3 linked regions of the Notamacropus eugenii genome follow. The protein of the gene in region 3 interacts with the protein of the main gene of each other region in a biochemical or structural test. Links are inferred from orthologs where the notes say so. Each region holds a gene or a part of one and is shown on either strand. Other genes may lie near its edges. The genes, in order: EGLN2, EGLN3 and HIF1A.

The links.
Region 1: the proteins of HIF1A (region 3) and EGLN2 form a complex in vitro, tested with the Homo sapiens proteins (3 studies listed by BioGRID, with this or other methods). The link is inferred for Notamacropus eugenii from reciprocal best matches to the Homo sapiens genes HIF1A and EGLN2.
Region 2: the proteins of HIF1A (region 3) and EGLN3 form a complex in vitro, tested with the Homo sapiens proteins (5 studies listed by BioGRID, with this or other methods). The link is inferred for Notamacropus eugenii from reciprocal best matches to the Homo sapiens genes HIF1A and EGLN3.

Annotation. Positions count from the first base shown.
Region 1 is NC_092876.1:30,871,858-30,879,392, forward strand, and holds the start of EGLN2 (prolyl hydroxylase EGLN2), read right to left. Parts: upstream 4,235-7,535; 5' UTR 4,133-4,234; intron 2,856-4,132; 5' UTR 2,632-2,855; coding exon 1,846-2,631; intron 1-1,845. Other genes in the region: RAB4B (ras-related protein Rab-4B), read right to left, coding at 6,561-6,676, 6,869-6,964. UniProt on the Homo sapiens protein: Prolyl hydroxylase that mediates hydroxylation of proline residues in target proteins, such as ATF4, IKBKB, CEP192 and HIF1A. Target proteins are preferentially recognized via a LXXLAP motif.
Region 2 is NC_092878.1:51,263,330-51,270,864, forward strand, and holds the start of EGLN3 (prolyl hydroxylase EGLN3), read right to left. Parts: upstream 4,435-7,535; 5' UTR 4,080-4,434; coding exon 3,723-4,079; intron 1-3,722. UniProt on the Homo sapiens protein: Prolyl hydroxylase that mediates hydroxylation of proline residues in target proteins, such as PKM, TELO2, ATF4 and HIF1A. Target proteins are preferentially recognized via a LXXLAP motif.
Region 3 is NC_092872.1:305,217,704-305,225,238, reverse strand, and holds the start of HIF1A (hypoxia-inducible factor 1-alpha), read right to left. Parts: upstream 4,562-7,535; 5' UTR 4,389-4,561; coding exon 4,318-4,388; intron 1-4,317.

The sequences.
Region 1 (7,535 bases), on a different chromosome or scaffold from region 3:
GGCTGCCCCAGCTCTGCTGTGGATAAGTCCCCTGACTAAAGTGTAAAGTGCCCACAGGCAGCCAGCTCTACCACTTCCCTGCCTGTCCCATGCCAGCTGGCACCTGCCTGCAGCAGGCCAACCTTAGAAAGGGCCAGCTCCAGAGCTGGCTTTGGGCTTTGGGGAAATCTCTACTTCCTGCTACTGACCCCAGCAGCTTAGACAGGGTGCTGGGCACAAACGGAGAAGGTCCCTCCTCCAGGTCACCCCCAGCCCTAGGCTGGTTGGAAGCCAAAGGTCCAGAAAGGAAAGAGTTACGAGCCTCCCAGGGCTGATCCCCTAAATGCGTCAGAGAATAGGGCCAAAGCCAATGATGGCAGGCCCCACCCACTCACAGCTCTTAAGAGAGTATCCAAGGAACCTAGGGCCCTCTGGCCCAGTTGCATCTTCCACTGGCAGCCCCAAGGCCCAATGCCCAGTCCCACCAGCGAGCAGAGGACTCAGGGGCACTGAGTCACCAGGTCAAAAGGACATGCATATGGGGGGTCAGGGAGAGGGAGGAGACAGGCAGGACACCCACAGAAAGAAGCCCAGGCCAGGCCAACCAGCATCTGTCCCTTCAATGCCCTCCCTGCTAGCCATACCAGGTCACTCTCCTGCCTCTTGAGAACTGGAGGGACACCCCGAGCCCTACCCTCAGTCTCTCCCACAGCTACTGCCCTTTCAAGCCAGGAAAAGCCCACAGATGCTGTCTCCTGGGAGCCTGGGGTGGGGGGGAAAGCCTGGGAGGGGCCAGTGGCCCATCCTATCCTGTCCTCTCCCCTCCCCCATTCCCACAGGATGCATTCTTATACCTAAGTCAAGAGAAGCCCCTCACACACACCCCCATGAGTATCTATCCTTCCCAGGCTGGGCCCCAAAAGAACCTAAGTCTAGCCCAATCATTGGACAGACAAGGAAACTGAGTCCCAAGAGGGTAAAGAATTGGCCCAAGGTCACCTGACACTTCCCGAGTCATGACTGGCACAGACTCCAAATGAGGGCCACTGAGGCCCCACCTGACAGAGGAGGCCCAGAGACTGGGAGCGAATGACTGAGGATGCACAGCTCTGGGCTGGCTCCAGGGGGCAGAGGGTGGGTTCAGCCAGGACCCACCCACCCGCTGGGGCCAGGCCAAGGGAGGGACCAGGAAGAGAGAGGAGCCTGCAAGAGCCCAGCCCAGGTAGGGGTGGGGGGCTCCAGTGGGCCAGGCCCTCCCAAGAGACAGGGCCAGGCTCCCTCCCGGTTACATAATCCCAACCCAGTCCAGGGAGAGTTACAGAGGGACAAGACCTGGAGGGAAGGAAGGAGAAAGGGAGGGGGAGAGAAAGACACAGAGAGGAGAGGGGGAGAAGGAGGGAGAAGAAGGAAGGAGGAGGAAGAATACAGGGTTAGGGGAAGAAAGATAAAGAAACAAGAAAGAAGGAGAATGAATGGGGAGGAAAGAGGGAGAGGGGAAACAGAGGCAGAGAGGGGAAGGGGAGACATCTAAGGGGAGTCAGTGAGGGCCAGACACCCATTTGCACACATGTGCACGCACACTTGCACACACACACACGCGCGCGCGCACACACACACACACACACACACACACACACACACACCGCACTCACTCTCTGTTCTGTGCTCTCTCGAAACACTAATCACAAACCCACCAGAGCAATGGTGCCCAGCTGGCTCAGCCAGGGCAGAATCTGCCTGGTGCCCACCAATCCCCCAAGGTAGCCACAGAAATAGACAAGAGCCCCAGAGCATTGGGGTTTGGAGGAAACTGAGACCCTGCAGGCTCCCATGGAGTGGTGGCCAGCCGATGGGCCCAGGCCTCACCTTGGTCCGGCCATTGATGATGTAGCTGCCCAGGCGACCAGCACAATGAAGGATCACCTCGTCCACGTGGGCCATCAGAGCCCCGATGCTCTCACAGCCAGGCTCACGACCCTCCACCCAGGCAATCTGGTCTCCCCGGATGCTACGTGAGGGGATAGCCCGCTGACTCACAAGCTGTCCATCCCGAAAGCGCCCATCTCGGTTCAATGCCTCCACCTCCGCCAACACTCGGCCACCCAAGGCTGCCCCGAGGAAGCCATCCTTCACGCAAATGCCATAGCACCGCATGCAAGGTATGATGTAGTCCACAGCCAGCCGCTCGGCGGCAGAGACCACAGCCTCCCTCTGCACCGGAGTCTCACTGCCCTCTTCCACCCAGCGCCGCTTGCTGGGCGGAGAGTCACCACCGCTCTCAGCCTGCTTCCGCTTGGGGGCTTCGGGCTGGGCTCCCCGGGCGGCAAGCAGCGGGCACTCCTTGGTGATCAGCACAGCAGCTCCCTCGCTCTGCAGGGGTCGAAGTTCCCCTCCTCCCTGCCCACTGCGCCCCTCGGGCATGGGGCTGGCTGCAGCTGAGGGGATGCCGGCTCCTGGGGGCAGAGGGCCACCCCCACTGCTGCTGGGACCAGCCAAAGCCTCGCAAGGACCAGAGAGGTGGAAGGAGGGCTGCGAAGGACAGGACACATAGCTCTCCAAGCCCATCCTGGCAAGGCTGTGCCCAGGGGTGTCCACAGTGGGCAGCTGAGGGAGATTTCTGCTCAGGAGGTCGGACTGGCATGGGCTGTCCATGGCAGCGTTTTCATCCCCCAGGCACGGAGGACACTGCCCGGGCCCATGGTGCCAGCCTCCTCCTCCTCTCACTGCAGCTGGTGATAACAGTGGCAGAGCCTGGCACAGGACTGAATGGGACTAAGCAGGCAGCTCTTCTCATAGCCCAGGAACCTGGGACATGATCCCCCGTTGTCCTTGGCCTTTGTGAGGCAGCAATGGGTCAAGCAGATGACCAACAGCGGCTAGAAAGAGAGAAAGATAGTGGGAGGTGTAAGAGGGCAGCTGCAGGAGGGAAAACCAGGGCAAGGCAGAAGGAGGTGGGGGGAACTCAAGGTCCAATGAGGAAAGTGGGGGCTGATGGTGGAAGGGGATCCCAGGACAGAAAGGGAGAAGAGGGGGAAAAGGCCTTAGCAAAGTCAGGGTGAAGAGGAAGTGGTACTGGATGGGGAGTAAGGGAGGAGCACTGAGAGGCCCAGGATGGAGGGGATGGAGAAGGGTAGAGAAGGAAGACCCCAGTCAGGAAGAGGAAAGGGAGCTGAGGGAATGCTCAAGGAGGGCAGCAGAGGGAGATGATGGGGGATCCTCCAAAGAGGAGGAAGAGGGTTGGGAGCAAAACGGGACCCAAGCCCAGGACGGGGGAGAGTAAGCAGGACCTGGGCCAGATAAGAATGGGGACACAGAGGTAGAAAGGGAGGGGGAGGGACCCGCCGAGAGGGCATCCAAGAATGCCAAAAGGGAAGGAGGAGGGGGGAGACAGCGGGCACAGCACAAGAGGGCTCCAGGGATGGAAGTAGGGCTGGGCAATCTGGGAAAGAAAAGTGGAGGACCAAGTGGCCCCCCCAGAAGAGGGATGGAAGGAACTGGGGACTGAGGGGCAGAAAAGGGAAGGACCCAGGCCTGCCAAGGACATGGACATAGGGGCTCTTGGAATGGCAGGAGAGGGCAAGCAGCCTGGGGGTCAAGAGGAGAGGAAGTGGGTGCAGTATGGGGGGCAGGGGGTAGGGGCTTGAGGAGGAAGAGGCTGGGGAAGGGAGAAGGGACCCAGGAACAGGAAGTCGGGAGGGAGGGCCTGAGGGTTGGGAAGGGGGAGCATGAACAGTCCAGGACTGGGGAGGGGGACAGGAGGGATCCTGGGGAGTCCGGGACTTCAGGGCCAAGATGGGGGCTGTAGGAGGTGAGGGAAGAGGCCAGAGGAGAGAGGGCCTGGGGGGCAGGTGGGGGAGGAGGAGGAGGGGAGAGGGGAGTCTGCGGGGGGCGAGGAGGGAAGGGGTCTGGGGTGGGGGAGGGGAGGAGGACGCGGAGGGGGAGGGGGCGGACCAGGGGAGCCCCCCCAGGCCCCGGGCCCCCTCCCCGCGGGGCTGAGCCGACACGGCAGCGGTTGGGGGCGGGGAGCTGGGGGGCAGCGGCGCGCGCCCCTCGCCTCCCCCAACGGCTGCCCCGCCCGGTCCCGAGGACCCCTCCCGCAGCCCCCCTCCGCGCGGCCGCCCCCCGCCCCGGACGCCCTCCTCCCCCCACTCACCGGGGATTTTCCTCCGGCCCCGGCGCCGCCGCCTGTGCCAGCCGCCCCGCGCAGCGCCGCGCGCCATCCCCCGCCCCCGGCCGCCCCCAGACCCCGCCCCGGGGCCCCGCCCCTGCACGTGACCGTGAGGAGCCGGCGGGGGAGGGGAGGAGAGGGCGGAGCGGGCGCGCGCGTGCGCAGGAGCCGCAGGCCGGGGGAGGGGAGGACAGAGCTGGGGACCCCTCCCCCACCCCACCTCCATCCCTGGCCCCTCCCCCAGGGACTCCCCACCCTGTTTCTCGGTCACCCTTCTCCCCTGGCCCCCAAGAGCCCTCCTCACGTCTCCCTCGGCCTCTCCCTGCCCCCCAGTGAGCCCCCAGTGTCCTCTCCCGCGGGGTCTTCTCGCTCTCCCTTCCCCTAGTCCTACAGGTCATCCTTGCCCCCTTGTCCCCCATGTTTCTTCCGATGTCCTCTTCACGGGGTCCCAGATTTCGAGCTGGAAGGAGCCCAGAAGTCAGATCGTCCAAAAGCCCTTAATTTTACACATGAGGAAACTGAGGTAGTGCAGATAGGTCACATCTGCCCCTTCCAGTCCAGCGACCCCTCCTGCCGGGGTGCGCCTCCTTCAGCGTCCCCTCTTGTTCATTCCTCTCTCCCTCGAGTCTTCAGGCCCCGCTCCCCTTTTTAGATCCCAGGGCCTGGGCTGGCCAAGGCTGCGGGTCCTTCCTCCCCACTCCCGGCCTCCAGCCCCCGCTGCCCCTTCCCAAGGAGGACACCTCCCAGAAGACGTGGGGGTGGGGGGAGCAGGACCCCAGGGTCCGAGGGAATAGTCACCTCGGTCAAGAAGTCCTCAAGTATCTATTAAGTGCCTACTAGGCGGCAGCCACCACACTCAGGCCCAAGACCCAAGAAAGGCAAAATGAGGGTCCCTGTCCTCAGGGAACTCAAGTGGAAACAGCTCAGTCCTTCTAAGATCGCATCTACAGGGAAAGGGGAGGCAGGCAACCTCGGAGCGGGGTGTGGTGAGCGGGATGTCAGCCTGCTATCCCTGGAAGGGGGATTTGCAGGACACTCTATAAATACCCCCTCCTGTGCCCTCACCCCCTTCCTTGGCAAGGCTATCCCACAGGGACAGTGACAGAGACGTGGGGTACGTGACCCAGGCAGCAGAGGGGCCAGGAGGGAGGCACACATTCCACATTCCCTCCCCACTCCCCACCCCCCAGAACAGGTGGAAGGGGACTGGGAGACTTCCAGGAACTGCCCAGGCCTGGATGCAGCGGCAGTTGGGGCTGAGATGTGGGAGACCCAGGCCTTGGGGAACCCCAGGGAGGAGACTAAGGACACCATATGCCCCTCTCTTCCCCATCCCCCATCGAGACAGGGAATTCTTCTTTCCTGAGCTGTTGGGCCTCTCCTAAAACAAGACAAGGTATTTGTCATGTGTCTGGGGAGGTAGTGGGGAATCCTTCCCCCCACCCCCAAGATTCCCGCATACCCTTTATCCCAATCTCCATTCTGCTCCTCCAACTCTACAGGCCCAACCTCCTTTCCACCCTCTGGGCTCCTGTGACCTCTCCCCTCTCTACCTCAAGTCCCTAACCTAACCTCTGAACCCCACCCATCCACCCAACCCCATCCCTCCTTTCCTAGCCCCAACCTGGGCCTGGGACCTTGCCCAGGCTCCTCTCTTCCAAGCCTCACCCCTGACCTTGGCCCCCACTCCACAGTCCTCGGACATCACCCAGGCCAGACCACCCCACCCCAGGCATGACCTCGGGCCCTGTGTATTCACCTATGTGTAGTTCTCATGCCAGCCTCCCTAAATCCCAAAATTATCATTCTAGAGTTCCCACCCCTTTTTCTGAATTTCACTGACCCCATGACTAAGGAAACTGAGACAGAGTTGGAAAAAAAAACCATCATTTTATATATCAATATATATATGTGTGCATGTGTATGTGGAAACAAACTTGATGATGGTCCCCTCCCCACCTCAATGCCCCCCCAGTCTAATAAATACCATTTACAAGGGTCAGCAGGGTCCTGGGGGTTCTGGGAGGGAAGAGACTGGCGGAGGCTCACGCCTCTGGTCCCAGAGTTTGGATAATGGAAAAGGTCATAAGGTTGGTGACAAGCCAGGTATAGCCACCCCAAGGCTCAGGGTTGTAGATGGGGGGGCATTCCCCCTAGCTCTGCCCCCAATGGCTCAGACAAGGGTCCCTCCCAGTCCCCCCTGAAGTATAGAGGGAGCCCACTCTGTGCTTAATGCTCTCTCAGAGAAACTAGGGCAGAATGGGAGACGGAGTCAAACCAGGCAAAAAAAGGGAACAGAATGGGGAAAAAGTGTTGGACGCAGATAGTCCCGGGTCCCTGATCCACAGCTTCTCTGGCATCCCGGAATGGGGGCAGATGTCCAACCCTCAAAGCCACAAGGGAGAGAGGAGACTCAGCAGCCACACTGCTGTCTGCTCTGGGCCTGAGTACCCCGGGGCTGGCGAAGTTGGCGCAAGGAGGCATCGCCATACTGGATTCCCGAACCCATTCTCTCTGGGTCCAGTTCACCTAGCGGGGAAAAGAGACAAGGGAGAGGAAGACAGGTATGGGATGTGACCCAGAGAGACAGGTCCACTGGGAGGCTGATTCTGACAGCAACAGAGAGATGCACAAAGACAGAATGGAGATAAAGAGGGCCCTGTGGGCCTCCCCAGTCCCCCACACCCACACCCACATCCCCAGCTGCCCATGGGACCTCACCCGAGTCAATCTTGTTCAGGATGGTTCGGGCACACTTGAGAAAAGCTTCCTCTACATTCTCGCCAGTTAGGGCACTGGTCTCCAGGAACATCAGCTCTGTAGGAAGCGAGCAAACATTTGACTCCAGAGGGTCAGAGTGGGAGAGGCATACTCTGCCATCCCTTAACCTCTAGAACACTGAGTATCAGAGAGGGACAGAACACATGGGGCACTTAGACCACAGAGTACTATGATGGAATAGACCCTGCCCTGCAACAACCTCTCAATACTAAATGTTACCCCAAGACAGAAGAACCCTTGGGCAGTCTAGAACAGTTTATCATGAAGTCAATGGAGCTCTTGGGGCAGCCCAGGATACAACGTTCCAAGTGGACAGAACCCATGGAGCAGGATAAACAGAACATTACATCTTAGGATATCCTAGAACACAAAATGTCCCCAGTGGATAGAGCCCGTGAGGCATCCTTAGAACACAAGAGCGTCCCAAGTGGATGGAATCCTTGGGGTATCCTTAGAACACAGAGTAACATAAATGGACCAAACCCCTGGGGATATCCTAGAACAGAGTTATGAGTAGAACTTGGGGATATCCTAGAACACAAGACTGTCCCAAGTAGATGGAACCATTAGGGCAGGCTTAAGATAGAGACTATCATAAGTGGACAGA
Region 2 (7,535 bases), on a different chromosome or scaffold from region 3:
TTGGCAATCAGTGAAATGTGAATTAGAATTGGGCTTACGGTTCAAAAATATATATGAAAATACATAACACATATACATAAGAACATATATATGAATGTTTGTATGTATACACACATGTATGTATACGTGTGTGTCTGTGTGTATAAATATATATGTATATGTATATGTATATATCCATTCTTGTGAGTTAGTGACATTTTTACCTGGTGAGTTACTGTAAAAAATCTAACTAGCTGTTGACTATTGCTGAGCAAGAGAACTCCTGGTTCTATAAATTACAATCCCAGTGGAAAATAAATCCCTGTTCCGTAAGATTTATGCAGTCAAGTAAAAGGAGAAAGTAGTGACCAATATTTGTCTTGGAGATTTCCTACATTCCTGAAAAAGGAGGGAGCAGTCTTGTAAACGAATACAGGGAGGGTCTCTAAGCAAGGACCACACTTGAAGTTAGGGGGCGCCATGCTGCTGCACATGGCAAAGAAATTACAACCAAGAGACTTCCCCAAAGACTCCTTAATTAAGAACCTGAAGATATGTTTCCAACAAGTTCAACTGCCAAGGTCAATTCAGCCCAGGTAACTTAATGAAGGGTTCTCTTAAAATCTCAGCAGCCCCTCATTTCTTCAGCAACTGAACTCTGACCAATATTTCTCCTTTTCAGCCTGGCGTTTAGACAAACTTACAATTTGATGGCTTTTGCTCCTTCGCAAGACTCATTAAAAGTAAGAAAAGTATTATTCATATGTTCAAACAAATAAATACATACCTCAGCTTTAAGAACAGTAGGAAACCTAAAATAGATTTAGCAGATTCTGCCTTATGTTTGATTAGGTTTCCATGCCTAGGATAGAGTACTCTCCATACTGGAGATGGAGGGAAATAAGTAAAGGACAGGAAAGGAAGACAAACAGGCAAAGTTAAGAAAATTCCTCGAAAGAAAATGGTTTCCTTTCTACCAAAATTTACTAAATGAGGAACTGGATACCACCTCTGTCTCTCTAATCCAAGAGCGCTAAAGAGGTTTCTTTATATGACCCTATGTCTTCTCTTCTTCTGATAGAGCTTTTTTCACTAGAGATGTGAATATACACACATTCTAATTGGTTCGAGAATATTTTGCCTTACTTTTTCTATTAATCATACATTTGGAGAATGAAGAGCTACATATTAGGACAGCAGATGAGAATCTATATTCTGGACAAAGGTAGGCTGCCTTGTGAGAAACCTCCTAAATTCCACTTGTTAGAATGGACATCAGTATCAAATTTCCTTGCTTCAATTTCAAAAAGCATTCATTCAACAAAAATCTACCAACACTAAGTTGTGAAACATTGAGTGGGGTGGAGTGGGTGAGTGTGAAAGCATGGAGGGAGGGCCCTAGGAGAGGGTGAAAAGACAAATAAGACAAGTATTTGAGGGATCCACCCAGTAAAAACTTTAAAATCCACTTACATTTTGGATGAGTTACATTTAATTAAGTTATTCCGATCGTGGAAGGATATCACACCAATATGGGATAAAACCATCAAATCCTGATGGGACCAAATTTTCTTGCCCTGGATGGGTTTCAGATTCTTTCCATTAAAATTTTACCCTTAAACTTTTAGGGTTGAAAGACAGGCCTTGCAAAAACAGAGTGGTCCAGTGGAAAGGATACTTGATTTGATTCAGGACCTGGGTTGGGTTCCTTTTTTGAGGGAGGTGGGGGGTGGGGGGGATTAGTATACATACACCACCCCCTCCTCCCTTAGCATAGCGCCTGGTACATAGCAGACACAATTAATGCTTGTTGACTTAAATGGTAACTATGAGAACTCAGGCAAGTCACTTTATCCTCTCTGTAAAAGGAAGGACTGAGTAGGGATGATCCACAATCCCCTATAGGTGGGTCAGGCTGCTGCTCATAAAGAAGCTAAAACTTGGAGAGGTTTAAATGGAATGATGGATCTCCTTAGTGATTACTTACTCTTTACTACCTCAAAGCTATTTTTTTCAGTGTCCACAAGAAGCATTTATTTCAAACTTTGTATAATCTTGCTTTGAAAGAACTTTAGGCATCTTGAGTGTCCTTCAAAATTGGACCAGAAAGTCTAGTATCTTAATTAATTAAAATGACTTCCTGAGCGTTTAATAAATGCCTCTTGGCAGACTTCAAGAATTCTGTGAAGGTAATGCAATTTTCCCCAAGTTAAAAGCAGATGTTTAGGGGTTTGGTTTTGTCTTTAAATAATTTGAACTCCTCTTAGAGAAATCTTCTAATTTCCTCCAAATTTTCTATTCCAAACCTCCTCACAACCAAATATTTATAAAGCACAGGACACTTCATTAATTAATTAATACTTGTCTCTTTCTTCCTCCCTCCTTCACTTCTCCGAGGACTCAATTCTACATCTTAGCTATTTGTCCTTTATTTTTTGTCTTAACAGAACTCATCTCAGATCATGGGCCAAGGGATGGCAGTGGTTTGTTTTATCACAGAATCAGTCTTGAACTGTGAAAAATACTTTATTTCCCCCTCAAATAATACATAGATGACTCTTCTGGTACCTGATGGCCAGCTTGCTTTCCTCTGTGCCCCTCAGGTTTTTAAAAGGTACTTATGCTCATCTACCCCTCAGCCTCCCTTAGGATAAAAGAAAATGTAGAGTCACTTGGAGCTGTTACCGGAAACAACCTGGGCTGAACCAATAAACACCTGAAGACAGATTGTCTGCAAGTCCCTCCAAGTCTGTAGACAAATAGCACAGATACTACAGTTAAGGTAACTTTCCCACCTTTGCAGAGATGCTGCCAATATACAACGTAAGCACATCTAAGAAATTACCCTCAAGAAGAGTCTCTTGAGGGATAGGTGAACTGAAACCTCTTTTCCTTCCAAAAGTCCTAGACTACTCTCTCACCAACTATTTACTGCTACAGAAGGGCCTGGCTGAAGGTAGCAAGGAAAGATCTTCACAAGCAACAAATTAGATCAACCCTACCTGGGGCCAAAGGGCCAAACGCACCGACCGAAACAGAGAGAGGGAAAGAGCTTACACCTTGCACAAGCTGCCGTCCACAACTATGGGTCCCCAAAGACAGTGTATTTGGAGACACACCAGAGCAACAGGTATGGGGGGGACTACGGGATGACTAAACAAGAACAAAGCTACACCTATTCCGAAATCTTTAAGACGTGTCCAATGCTAACTTCATCTGTCTAGTCCACTGGTTCTCAGTATCAAATTATCACCAAACTATACAGAAACCAAGGTTGATTAGTTTTTTACCAGCAATGAAAGAAGTTCCTTCAAAGACAGTGCTGCTGATCACAACTTTAGAACAGGAAAAGACCTCAGAGGACATCTAGGAAAAACACCTTCATTTTACACGTTAAGGAAATTGAGGCTCGGAGGAGGGAAAATGACTTGTCCAAGAACGCACAAATGCTAAGTGGCAGAAGCCGGAATTAGGTTCCTAAATCCAACGTTCACTCCACTGTACCACACTATCCGTGGGGCTAATTCATTTAAAATTAAGTGTCCGCTAAAGTAGCCTCGGTCCAAGTCTTTAACCCAAACCACTATTTTTTTTGTATTATTTTTGTTTTAACCCAAACTAGTCTTCTCTGTATAAACATTTTGGGGGAAAGTTTCTTGCCAACGTGAGTGGTGTGCTTAACTTAGCGATCGGTCAGGGCGCCGCTCTTCCCAGTCCCCAATTGAAAGTAACAGCGCCCTTACCTTGGACCTTTCTTTGACATAGTATTTGCCCAGGCGGCTTCCACAGTACAAAACCAGCCGGTCGATCAGGGACAGGAGGAAGCTGATGGCTTCGCAGCCTTCTTCGTTGCCCCCGATCCAGGTTATCTGGTCTCCCCGCAAGTGCCTCTTGGAGATCCCGGAGCGGGGTCCAGCCAGCTGGCCGTCCTGCAGGTCCCCGTTACAGTGCAGCTGCTTCACGCGCTCCAGGACGCAGTCACCTACCACTTCGCCCAGGAAATTGTCCAGGTAGCAGAAGCCGATGTCATGCAGGCAGGGCACGATGTATTCTAGGGCGATCTTCTCCAGATCCAGGTGCATGATGTGTCCCAGGGGCATCGTGACTTCCGAGCGGAGGGGAGCCGAGGGGGCCCCAGCCTGGGTGACTGGAGGAGGCGTGTGAGCGACTTTGGGAGACAGACACCCAGCTTGAGGCCCCCGGGGTGCCAGGGCTCCTGCCCCTCGAGATCGGGGGTGGGGGAGACGGCGCCGCACCGGCAGCTCCGGGGGGCACCCAGCGCACCACTCTTTGAGTGGAGTCCACTTAACAAAAGCACCGTCCGAGCTCCGCAGGAGTTTGCGCGGGGCTCATCGACCCAGGACTGGACTGGCCCAGCGTGGAGACTTAGAGGGAACCCCTTTTTGGAGCGCCAGCCAAAGTGACTGCGGACTAGACAAGGACTCCGGGGCAGAGTATCCGTCCCCGCCCCGCCCCGCCCCTTACCGGGCCACCCAAACTCCGCAGGACGTCACCAGGTCCCGCCCCTAACTGGGCAACACTCACACCCCCGGACATCAGGAGGCCCGCCCCTGGCTGCAAATGCCCAGAGGTCAGCGTGCTAGAGGACACCGCCCCCCTCGCGCCTTTATAAACGGGCGGGACAGATGGGTTCTCTTAGAACTTGCTGGCGTTGTTTTCATTTTCTCTTTTGTTCCTTTATTATTTTCTTTTTTTCAGGTTTAGGAGTAGGGCTGACCGATTGCATGTCTGTACTGTTTGACAGGGGGATGTCAAGTCTGCATGCTACTGATTCGCTCTTTTGTTTGTTTTTCCATAAATTTTCATAAGCTTGAGCAGTTTAATCTGAAAGCTCTTCTACCAAGTTCTCCATCTATATTAAATCCCGGCGTAATGCCTACCAGGATTTCAAAAACCGAATCAAGTAGATGACCCGGTGGACCCAGGGGCTTGACCTGTTCCCAAATCAGCCTTAAATACTTAGTAGCCCTGGGCAAGTCACTTAAACTGTCCTCAACAACTGTCCAGTTGAGGACAATAATAGCACCCACCTGTCAGGGTTTTTATAAGGATCAGATGAGATAATATGTGGAAGGTGCTTTGCAAACCTTAGAGCACCGTACAAATAGGAACTATTATTAAATCATATTTTCTCTTAGAAAACACAGATTCATTAATTCATTGACCAACCAAGATTTCCCAGGCAAGTTACCCAGACAGGGGTGTTGTACTCCGGGTGCAGATGGAAACATATTTTGGGGCATTTGGTTAGGGTTTTTGTTTTACTTGTTACTTTTTGTCTTTCGTTGGTTGGGGGGGGGGGGGATGGAAAAGAGACAAAATAAATGCTAGATAATTTAAAAATAAAATTTTAAAAATAAAGCAAGAAAGGCAAAGAAGAAAGGAAAGACAGAAAGAGAGATAGAAAATGAAAAGAAAACTCTTCCATAATGAGTTAATCAGCAAATATTTATCGACTGCCCATTACTTGCAAGACGTGCTGCGAGGCAGGAGAGTTTGAGCTAGAAAAATGTTTGCCTTGGCATGATATGTGTCAGTGTAATTATGCCCCAGCTCCTGCTTTGTTGTTATTATGGTTGTATCTTAATAGCCAGGTGAACTATACCCTAGGGATGGGCTTAACCAAACAAGTAAAATTTCAGTTATCTATAGATTAAACAGTTCAGTTCAATGGATTGTACATTCTTTTTCCTTCTTTACGTTGCTGACTAGAATTGAAAGGGGGGAAAACACACCTAACTTGCATAATTGTTTTCCAATAATATCTATATAAAATAGGCATCGGTGATGTTTTCTTTCCTATTTGAATCTAACAAGAAAAAATGTTGTCTTGAAAGGTACACTGAGAAGATAGAAGGCTGGACGGTGGAGTCTGTAGGACCTGAGTTAAAATCAGGACTCATATACTTAGGAGCTATATGGCCCAGGGCAAGTCACTTAACCTCTGTCTGTCTCAGTTTATTTATTTGTAAAAAGGAAATAATAATAATGATAGCACCTAACTCTGAGGTGGTTATGATGGAAATACTTGTAAAATGCTCTGCAAACCTTAAAACATTACGTAAATGCCAGCTATTAAGGATACTATGGAGTTGGGAAGACCCGACTTTGAATTGATCCCAGAATATAGAATATAATGTCATTGAATCTCTAGTCCTCAGTTTCCTCATTTGTAAACTGGGGTTGATAAAAATCTATATCACTGTTTTCAGAGTTGTAAGAATCAAATTTTATATTAAAATAAAAATAAAATATTCAAAATATAAAATAAAATTATATTAAAATAAAATATATTAAATTTACATTACATAAATAGCCTAGAGGAGGCATCCAGGGATAGAGAGCTGGCCCATGAGTCAGGAAGATGTGGGTACAAGTCTTGTCTCTGTCATATACCAGCCTCGTGACTTTGAGCAAGTTGCTGAAATTCTTAGTGGTCTAGGCCCTTATGTCATTCTCAAACAAAAGTGCAGCCACTAATCCATACATAAGGATTCCTGCAAGCTGCATATTGAATTAGTTTTAAAGTGTAACATTATCTATGTTTTATTGTAGTGTTACTTACCTTGTTAAATATTTCCCAATTACATTTTAATCTGTTTCTAGCCTACATGGGAGTGTTAGATGTCACCCATGAGTTCACTGAAACAGCTAACGAAGGTTTCCCAGCAAGTCCCTAGTTCCAAACTTTAAAAATATTTCAGAAAGCCTAGACTATGTTGCTCTAATTAAAGAAATAAGCTCCAAGCAAAACTCTGAAGTACAAAGGGGGAGCTAACCTCAAAAGTTCTTCTTTCTCATCAGAAGCATAAGCCAGTCTTTCCAACATGGAATTGTGCAATTTTAAAGCTTTTAAGTTGCCTAGTTATTACTCTGCATGGGAGCTCTGTACTTGTTAACTAACAAGTTGTTTGTAATCTTCCTAGCTTTTCCTGCCCAGCTCTAGTTTATGAGATTAGTTTCATAAATGATTAAAGAGCAAGATAATATACGCCCAAAATGTTGCATCTGAGAGAGAACAAAGAGAAAATGGTGGTACAAAGGTAAGGTATTAACACAAAGGAGGCGTCTTCGAATTCCTTTTACATCCAAGATCAATGTCCAAAGCATACTTCTTCCAAGACAGAGTGCTGGACTTCAGTAACGAAGTTCTGAATCTGAATCTTACCTCCAACATATGCTAGCTATATGACCTTGGACAAATTATTTAATCTCTCAGTGCCCCAGTTTTCCCATTTATTAAATGAGATGGTTGGACTTGGGGATGCCCTTCCTACTCTAAAATCTAAGATATACAATCCTATTCCCTCCACTTCCTGAATTTGGTAGATTACAAAGGAAATCAATCAGTTTTAAGAATTAGCCCTGATTGGCCAAGATTGTTTCTAATAGAAAAGCTCCCAGCCATTAAAAGTTTACAGATTCTGGCCCCTGAGGGAGTCTACTCTCATATCTTCTAACATACTTTGAGTTTGGACTCCTAAAAACGTAGCTCACTAGCACCAACCAGTGTGCTTACTTTAATAATGAATAGA
Region 3 (7,535 bases):
TGTGTTCCCTGGCTTCTTATCAAGTCTCAATTAAAGCCCCAGAAACATTTCCTGATTTCCTGACTAGTGCCTTTCCCTCTGTTGATTTTCTACAATTTATTCTGTCTATATTTTGTTTGTATACAGTTGTTTGCATGTTGTCTCTCCCACTAGACTGTAAGCTCCTCAAAAGTAGGGACTGACTGTCTTCTTATCTTTCTTTGTATCCCTAATGCTTAGCATAGTACCTAGAACATAGTAGGCAGTTAATACTTGTTTGACTGACTACTACATATCAAGCAATGTGCTTATGTAGGGCAAATTAGAGCAAACAAACAAACAAAAAAAAAAATGGAAAAAAATTCCTATTCTCCAGGAGCCAGGTCCAGTGATCAACAGAGTGTTTCCTAAGTTTCTACTAAGTCACATTCAAATACCAGGTTAGTTTATCATATTATGCTTAGAATAAAATAATGACTTCCATGGTACAGTCCTTTGAGCAGTGTTACTTTACAGGGCCTTATTTAAAGTTAAGTCTTGGGCCTAACAGTTGGGGGAACTAAAGGACCTTCATTCAGAATGACAGTATGTTTAAAATAAAATGAATGAGAATCAACATGCTTGGAGAATAAGGATTTGAAAGGCAATCTTAATCTGTTGGAAGCAATATAATAATGTAAACAGAAGAGAAAGAGCTGTGGCAGATTTATCTCTGAATTTTTCTGCAGATTAACCCATAAAATGAGGTGAATAATGAAGATTTAAAAGTCATACTTTTCAGACAGTACCAGTAAGTATCAATCACTTTAAAATTCTCTAGATGTCATCTCCTCCAACCTTGGAAGAATTTTTACAATTCAGCTTTCAAGTTGTGAGATGATAATAATTGAAAGGCTACATAGGAAGTGGTGGTGCCTAAACTGAGCACTAAAGAGAAGGGATTCTGAAAACTGAAGATGAGAAAACACTGCAGGCACAAGGTATGGAGACTGTGAAAAACCAAAAAGGTATGTGATAACCCAGAGTTTGAGACTTCCATTTTACATGACTAGAATACAAAAAGTGTAGAGCACAAGGTAATAACCAGATCCAGATTGTGGAAGGTTTTTAAACACTAGAGAAAACACTGCATTAATATCAATGATGGTATTTTTTAATAACAATAGTTATGCCTGTGTCTTTCTACTGAGAGTAATCTGACTCATAAAGTCTGACTTTAACTAGATAAAACCAGACTGAGCTGGTTTTCCCATCTTTAGTTAGTACTCTTGTGAGTTCAGTGCTGAATTTCATGACAAACATACGTTTCATTGATCTATTTTGTTGTCTTAAATTCTGTGATCTTTAAAAATAGTTATTTCTCCAGAGAAATGTGCAAAAGTTATAGGTATTAAAGAGCACACTTAATGACTATTAGATATTATTGCTGTGAAAGTCTCATTAATCCTTACAAAATATGTTCAGAAGGACCTGGCAGGCTAAGTTGTTGATTTCTCTTAAGTGCTGTCTAAGCTTTCTAAAGTTAGAAGTAAAAGACTAGTAAAAATTAGCTATTAACCATTACTAAAGGAACTGTCATGTGTAAGGCAATATAAAGACAAGAGTACTAAAAAATGGGAAAAGGTAATTTTTACTGATGAAACTCAAATTTTCATTCAAGTCTATACCAAGACAAATCCAAATGTACCTGGAAGATCTGGGCATCTTCATCATACTGTAAAACATGCACTCAAAAAATGTTTGAGGTTTTTTACTTACAAAGAGAAGATAATGATGAGCCTCTTGATATATGTTGTTAAACTGAATTATTCTAGGATTACAGAAATTCTCAAATGGAGATGAACAAACACTACAACACAATAGTGCACCATGTCACAAAAGATTAAGAAATCTGTCCAAGAGATGGAAATATGTATGTGTCAGTGGCCCTGAAACTTGTCTAACTTAAATTTCAATGAAACTCTATAGGCTATCTGTTTATCAAAGTTATGCTTAATATATCTAGTATGTTAAGTGCACTTCCATGATGAAAATTTAAAGAATATGTGTCAAAATCTTATGAACTCAATTCCAGGTCCTGTAAAACAAGTAAATGACTAAAGAAAAATAATATGTTGCACTAATTTTTTTAAAGATGTAAAAAATTGGGAGGTTTATTGTTACTGAATGAGTCAACCAATTTAATTTGATTCAACTGCTAAGCACACCATTTTGTGTGTGGAGAGAAATGACTATATTTAGCAAAGATTGCTTTATATTTCGTCTATTCCATAACTTTGGTGAAATTAAAATATTTTAAAAGGTTAAGTGACTTGCCCAAGGCTGGGATTTGAATCCAGATTCTATGATATTTTTATTTATTCTGGTACAAATGTCAGGTATTTTGCTATTAACTAGTGAATTTTCCTCCCAAACTACTTTGTATGCATTTTGTATATATTATACAAATACTTTTAAAAATGTGTTTGTTGTCTTCTTTATAAAAAGGTAAGCTCTTCAAGGGCAGGGGCTATTTCACTTTTGTCTTTGTATCCTCAGCACTTAGCATAATAGCTGGAACATGGTGAGGCTTAATAAATGCATTGCTGATGGACCAAAAAGCCAACTATTGGAAGAAAAAGACCCAGTCTGAGAGAAACAAACTAAACCCTAGTGTATACCATACTACTGTTAAAAAACTAACAATTCAAGAATGCATTATTAGTAGAAAAATAGAAAAAGCATCAATTCTGTTCCATTACATACTTGGTAAGTTCTTTTTAGGGTTCTGAGTCTTGTTTTGAATTTCATATTTTTCAGGTGATGATGCTGTATCAAATTCAGAGAATAAAAGCATTCATAAGGACCTTTAAGGAAGTTAAAAAAGTTGAAACTATAGCAAACTCTTAGGGGTGACAGCAAACTGAAGTATATAAAACTATACTAAAACTTTCCATTTCTAATGAAGGACAAGAAGAAACAGGTTTAAAATGCAGCAATAAAGCATTTTATTTCAAGAAACATTAAGAATCTTGACTTATGAGAAGCAACAAAGGTGTGCCATGGATCCCTTTAGCAGACGAACTTTATGAACCCTTTCTCAGAATATTTTTAAATTCATGAAATAAAATGCATACTTTACAGAGGAAAACAATGGTTACTGAAAATAAATGATTTCCTCCTATGAAAGTTTACAGACCCACTGAAATGTATGCACAGAACCAAGGGAGTCCAGATTAAGAAAACTTGTTCTAGAACATTATGGACTTCCTATCCACAAAGATATTTATGACACTGGACATGTACTTTAGAAAGTCTGGATGTGGTAATCTGCCTAAGAGAGAGGACTAAACAAGTTGACTTCTTAAGATCTTCTCCAAGTCTATTAGACCAAGCTATGCTAAGAATGTTAAAAAAGAGTAGCACAAAACCCAGACTGAGGGAGTAGCAATAACGTCCCATGCATAGTTATATTTTATATGACTGGATTCTTCATTTAACTTGCAATACAAATACAGAATGGTTCTTGCTCAAGTACCTCAATATGCAAAAATTACTAGCTTTCAAAAAGAAACTTCTACATTCAACAATATTTTTTTTAGTCCCTAATATATGGAAGTCACTTTTCTAGGGATGGAGGACACAAAGGCAAAAAAAAGTCATTAACAGTCATAAGAATCCCAGTTCAAATGAGTGGACCCATATACCATTCATGATGTCATAATATTAATACTGGTTGTTGGAACAAAAGTGTAATGGAGTATACTATTACTTGCAAAGGGGAAGTGTGTAACTTTGCTTAATGCACCTTCACGTACAAAATTAATGTAAATTACAATCAGAATATCAAGTTATTCTCTAAGCTGAGATGTACAATCCAATTCGGGCAAAAGCTTTATAATTATTTCTATGAAATTAATAGCAATTCATTCCTGCTAACTTCTATAACAGCCTCTGTGTTAATTTCTCATAGGGTCATAGACCTAGATTAGAGCTGGACAGGAACGTTAGAAGCTACCTAGTCCAGTCCCCTCATTTTACAGAGAAGGAAACTAACTTTTTAATTAACTTTTTTACACTGTAAAAATGTTAAATAATTTTATCTACACCTTATTTACCTTCCTCAAAAGTTTCTACTTCAAATGGGCCAAGATAACATTTCCAAAAAACATGATAATATGAAACAAACATATCGTTTTCAGATAGAGACTGGAAGGGCTAATCATTAAATAAAGACCAGTTTACCAAAACGGAACACCAACATAATTTCAATGTTTTACAAAGTTTCCTTCTAGAATCCACACACGACACAAGACAAAATTTCTTCAACTAGGAAATTACATTTTGGAGTTAACGTACCTGGGTTCAAAATCATTCCAAGGCCTTAAATATGTGTATTTTAAAACTCTTTGACTCTTCTTAAAGTTCATAATGTTTCCTACCTACACCTTTAAAGAAGTTCCATGAAAACAGCTACTTCCTTCTGACATTTTCTTAAAGATTTTAACACAACGAGAGCCGGGCCAGAAAATGGGCAAAGCCAACAATTCTCAGACCTTGCCAGCTTCTGCTGTATTTGCGTCGCGCTTTGGTCACTTCGGACGTTTACCTATCCACTCAATCTCCCTTAACGTACTTCAGGAAGTCAAATCTATCTGCTACACCTAGACTCTCCCTTGGCACTGGCTACCAATACAAAAGGACAATTTTGGGTGTTCTCCGTAAATGCCGCTAGCGTCTCACTCTTCCCTTGGCACGTCGCGCTTCATAAGTGCCAGCCGAGCACCCCCAATCTGACAAAACACAAAGCTGAGAAGAGAATTGATCGCTTGGGGAGGGGGCCTCCAGATTGAACAACAACACGATCGCAATTCGCTGCCTGACTCACGGCCCGGCAGGACACAATCACAGAACACGGACACCACATTACCACGGGGTGCAGAACCTGAGGCCCGGGAGGGAATTACAGGGCTCAGCCGGGTCAAACTGCAGCTCCCCTCCCCCGGAGGGGTTTTCAATAGAATCGAGGGAGAGTAAACGGAGGAAGGAGGGAGGGAGGGAGCCTCGTCCGGGGGCAGAGCGTGCTGACCCGGAGGGAGCCAAAGCAGCTTGATTTTCCAAGGCTGGATTTCCAGGCTGGGGTCGCAAGGGGAGGGGGCGATCGGGAGGAGGGAAGTGCGCGCGCGCCCGCGCGGTGGCTGCCGGGGGAGGGGACCAGGGGCGAAGTCGTCCCGGACTCCCACTTTCAATGGCTCTCCAACCCCCCACACCAAGATGGCGACGTGGACAGTAAGGGGGGGAGGCCGAGTGAGGAAGGGGGGGTAGGGAGAAATGAATAGAAGCGGCCCCCTCCCCCCTGCACTCCTCCATCTACATCTCTCCTTCCCCGCCTCCGCCCCCCCCCCACCCGGCGGCGCGTGGTGGGCTTTAGGGGCGCCAGGCGGCGAGATCCCCCTTTACTTACTTTTTCTTGTCGTTCGCACCCTCGGCGCCCTCCATGGCTAAGCGCCCCCGCCACCAGGCGCTTCCTCGGCCCGGTCCGCTCCGGTTTAAGCTCCGGCTTCTCACACACGAGGCACAGGGGGGAGAGAACGAAGGGGGATGGAGAGGGTAGAGAGGCGATCCCGAGGCGGCGGTTAAAAAGGGGAAGGACACACGCGGTCCCCGGCCCCACCACCACCACCTCCCTCCAGGAAAAAGGAACCCAGAACGTTCCGGAGGACGGGAGAGTCCGGACAATCCTAGGGGTTCGAGTCTAGCTCTCTCTGTCTCCGGTTTCTGTCAGCGCGGCCTGGCCCGGCGCGCAGCAGCGCCGATTCTCGGCTTCCCTCCTCTTTCCACAGAGGCAGCTCTGAGGGCTCGGGAGGCGGAGGCTGAGGGAGGACCGGAGGCTGAGGGGGGGGGGAGAGTGGGCAGGGAGCAAAGCCGCGAGCGCGCGCGCGCGCCAGTAAGGAGGAGTGGGTGGGGGGAAGAGTAAAAAGAAGGAAGGAAAAAGGGGGCGGGGGGAATCCCGAGGAACGCGCAGGCGCATACCCGCCTCACCTGAGGGGGAGGCCGGTTCCCCAAGCACCAATGGGAAGCTCCCGAGCCGGCCTATCCCCACCCCAGCCCTCGCCGTCCTAGGCCAATCGGCTGGTGGTCAGCTGGAGGCACAGCTGAGATGTCCTGCTTGGCTTGTGATGCAGCTGGGGGACTGGTGGGAAGAGGAGGGAGAAAAAGACCTGGGGTGGCTGCGGGACCCAGCCTCGCCGGCCGTTGTCTTTTCTTTTTCCTAGCTGCTAGGGGCGGGATTTCGCTAGCCCGGGCTGCTGAAAAGGATCTCAGGCGTCGGGTACTAGGCCGACGTTGCATTTTCAGGGGCAACATTCCTCCATCCTGTATCGTGTGGCTTCTTGTCCCTTTCTCCACGCACCCTTCCTGAAAAGCAGCCTTGTAATGTCCCACGACTGAGGGCTATTTACCCTGTTGTTTTTTAATGCATTATTACGGTTTCCTTCAGCTATAGGCTTAGTCCCTTTTGCTAATCCACAAAATGCTAGTACTAGTACCCTATACTTGGCATGGAATACGGTGGAATTGTCTCCTTAACCCCAAATGTTAGGATCTAGGTTTTCGTTACAATATAAAGGCAAAAACAAACAAACAAAAACTTTAGGCAAAATCGCAAAAGAAAACAGTAGAAAGTTGCACTAAGAATGGACAAGATATTCTTACTTTTTATGTATGTAAAAACTGCTTTATGTAAGTTTTCATTCTACTTTAACACAGGGAAAATGATAAGGAACTTGAATGTTGCAAGAAGGAAGAATTAACTATGGTTGTTTGGTACCGTAAAAATATTTATTTTTTGGTTTGTTTCATGCCTCCATTAAGGGAGAATCTTAGTTGAGTTATGAGATTGGGCAAGATTCCCCCACCCTCTTTCCCTCTGGTTTCAGGTTTAATTGTTTACAGTTCGATTCACATAGAAGCCGGAAAGCTATAAAGTCTTACTCTAATCGTTCAACCCAAAAGCATTCTTAAGCACTTTTTATGTGCCCTCCCATGGAACCGGCATAGTTCCACTAAACCAAAAATCAACATAACATTGCCTTAGTCACTAATTCTCCTTTGCTAATGTATCATGGATGCTACTTAGTATATTAATTATGGTGCTTTAATGGTTAAAAAAAAAGGTAGAAAACATACCTCATCAATGTGATGGAAAGAAAATTGGACTGGAAGAACTGTGTCCTACTCCTACATTAGTAGCCACTTGCCTCTGTTTCAGCTTCAGTTTCCTTATCGGCCAACATGTTGGAATACAGAATCCTGTAAGGGCCTATCCAGTTCTGACATTTTGTGATCTCTTTTTACTTTGAAATCATGTTTCAGTCCTATTCTTTTTCATCTGTCACAGGTACCCTTTTCCCTCCTTAAATCAATAAACATGTTCTGAATGTGCATCCTTAATTTATGTGATGTTTTTGTCACCCTTCAGTGTATTATTTCAACAATGGGGGTGGGATATGCAAATATGGAAGTTACAATGTCTCACCCTCAAGGATACATAAAAATAAGAGTCTAAATGAAAAAAA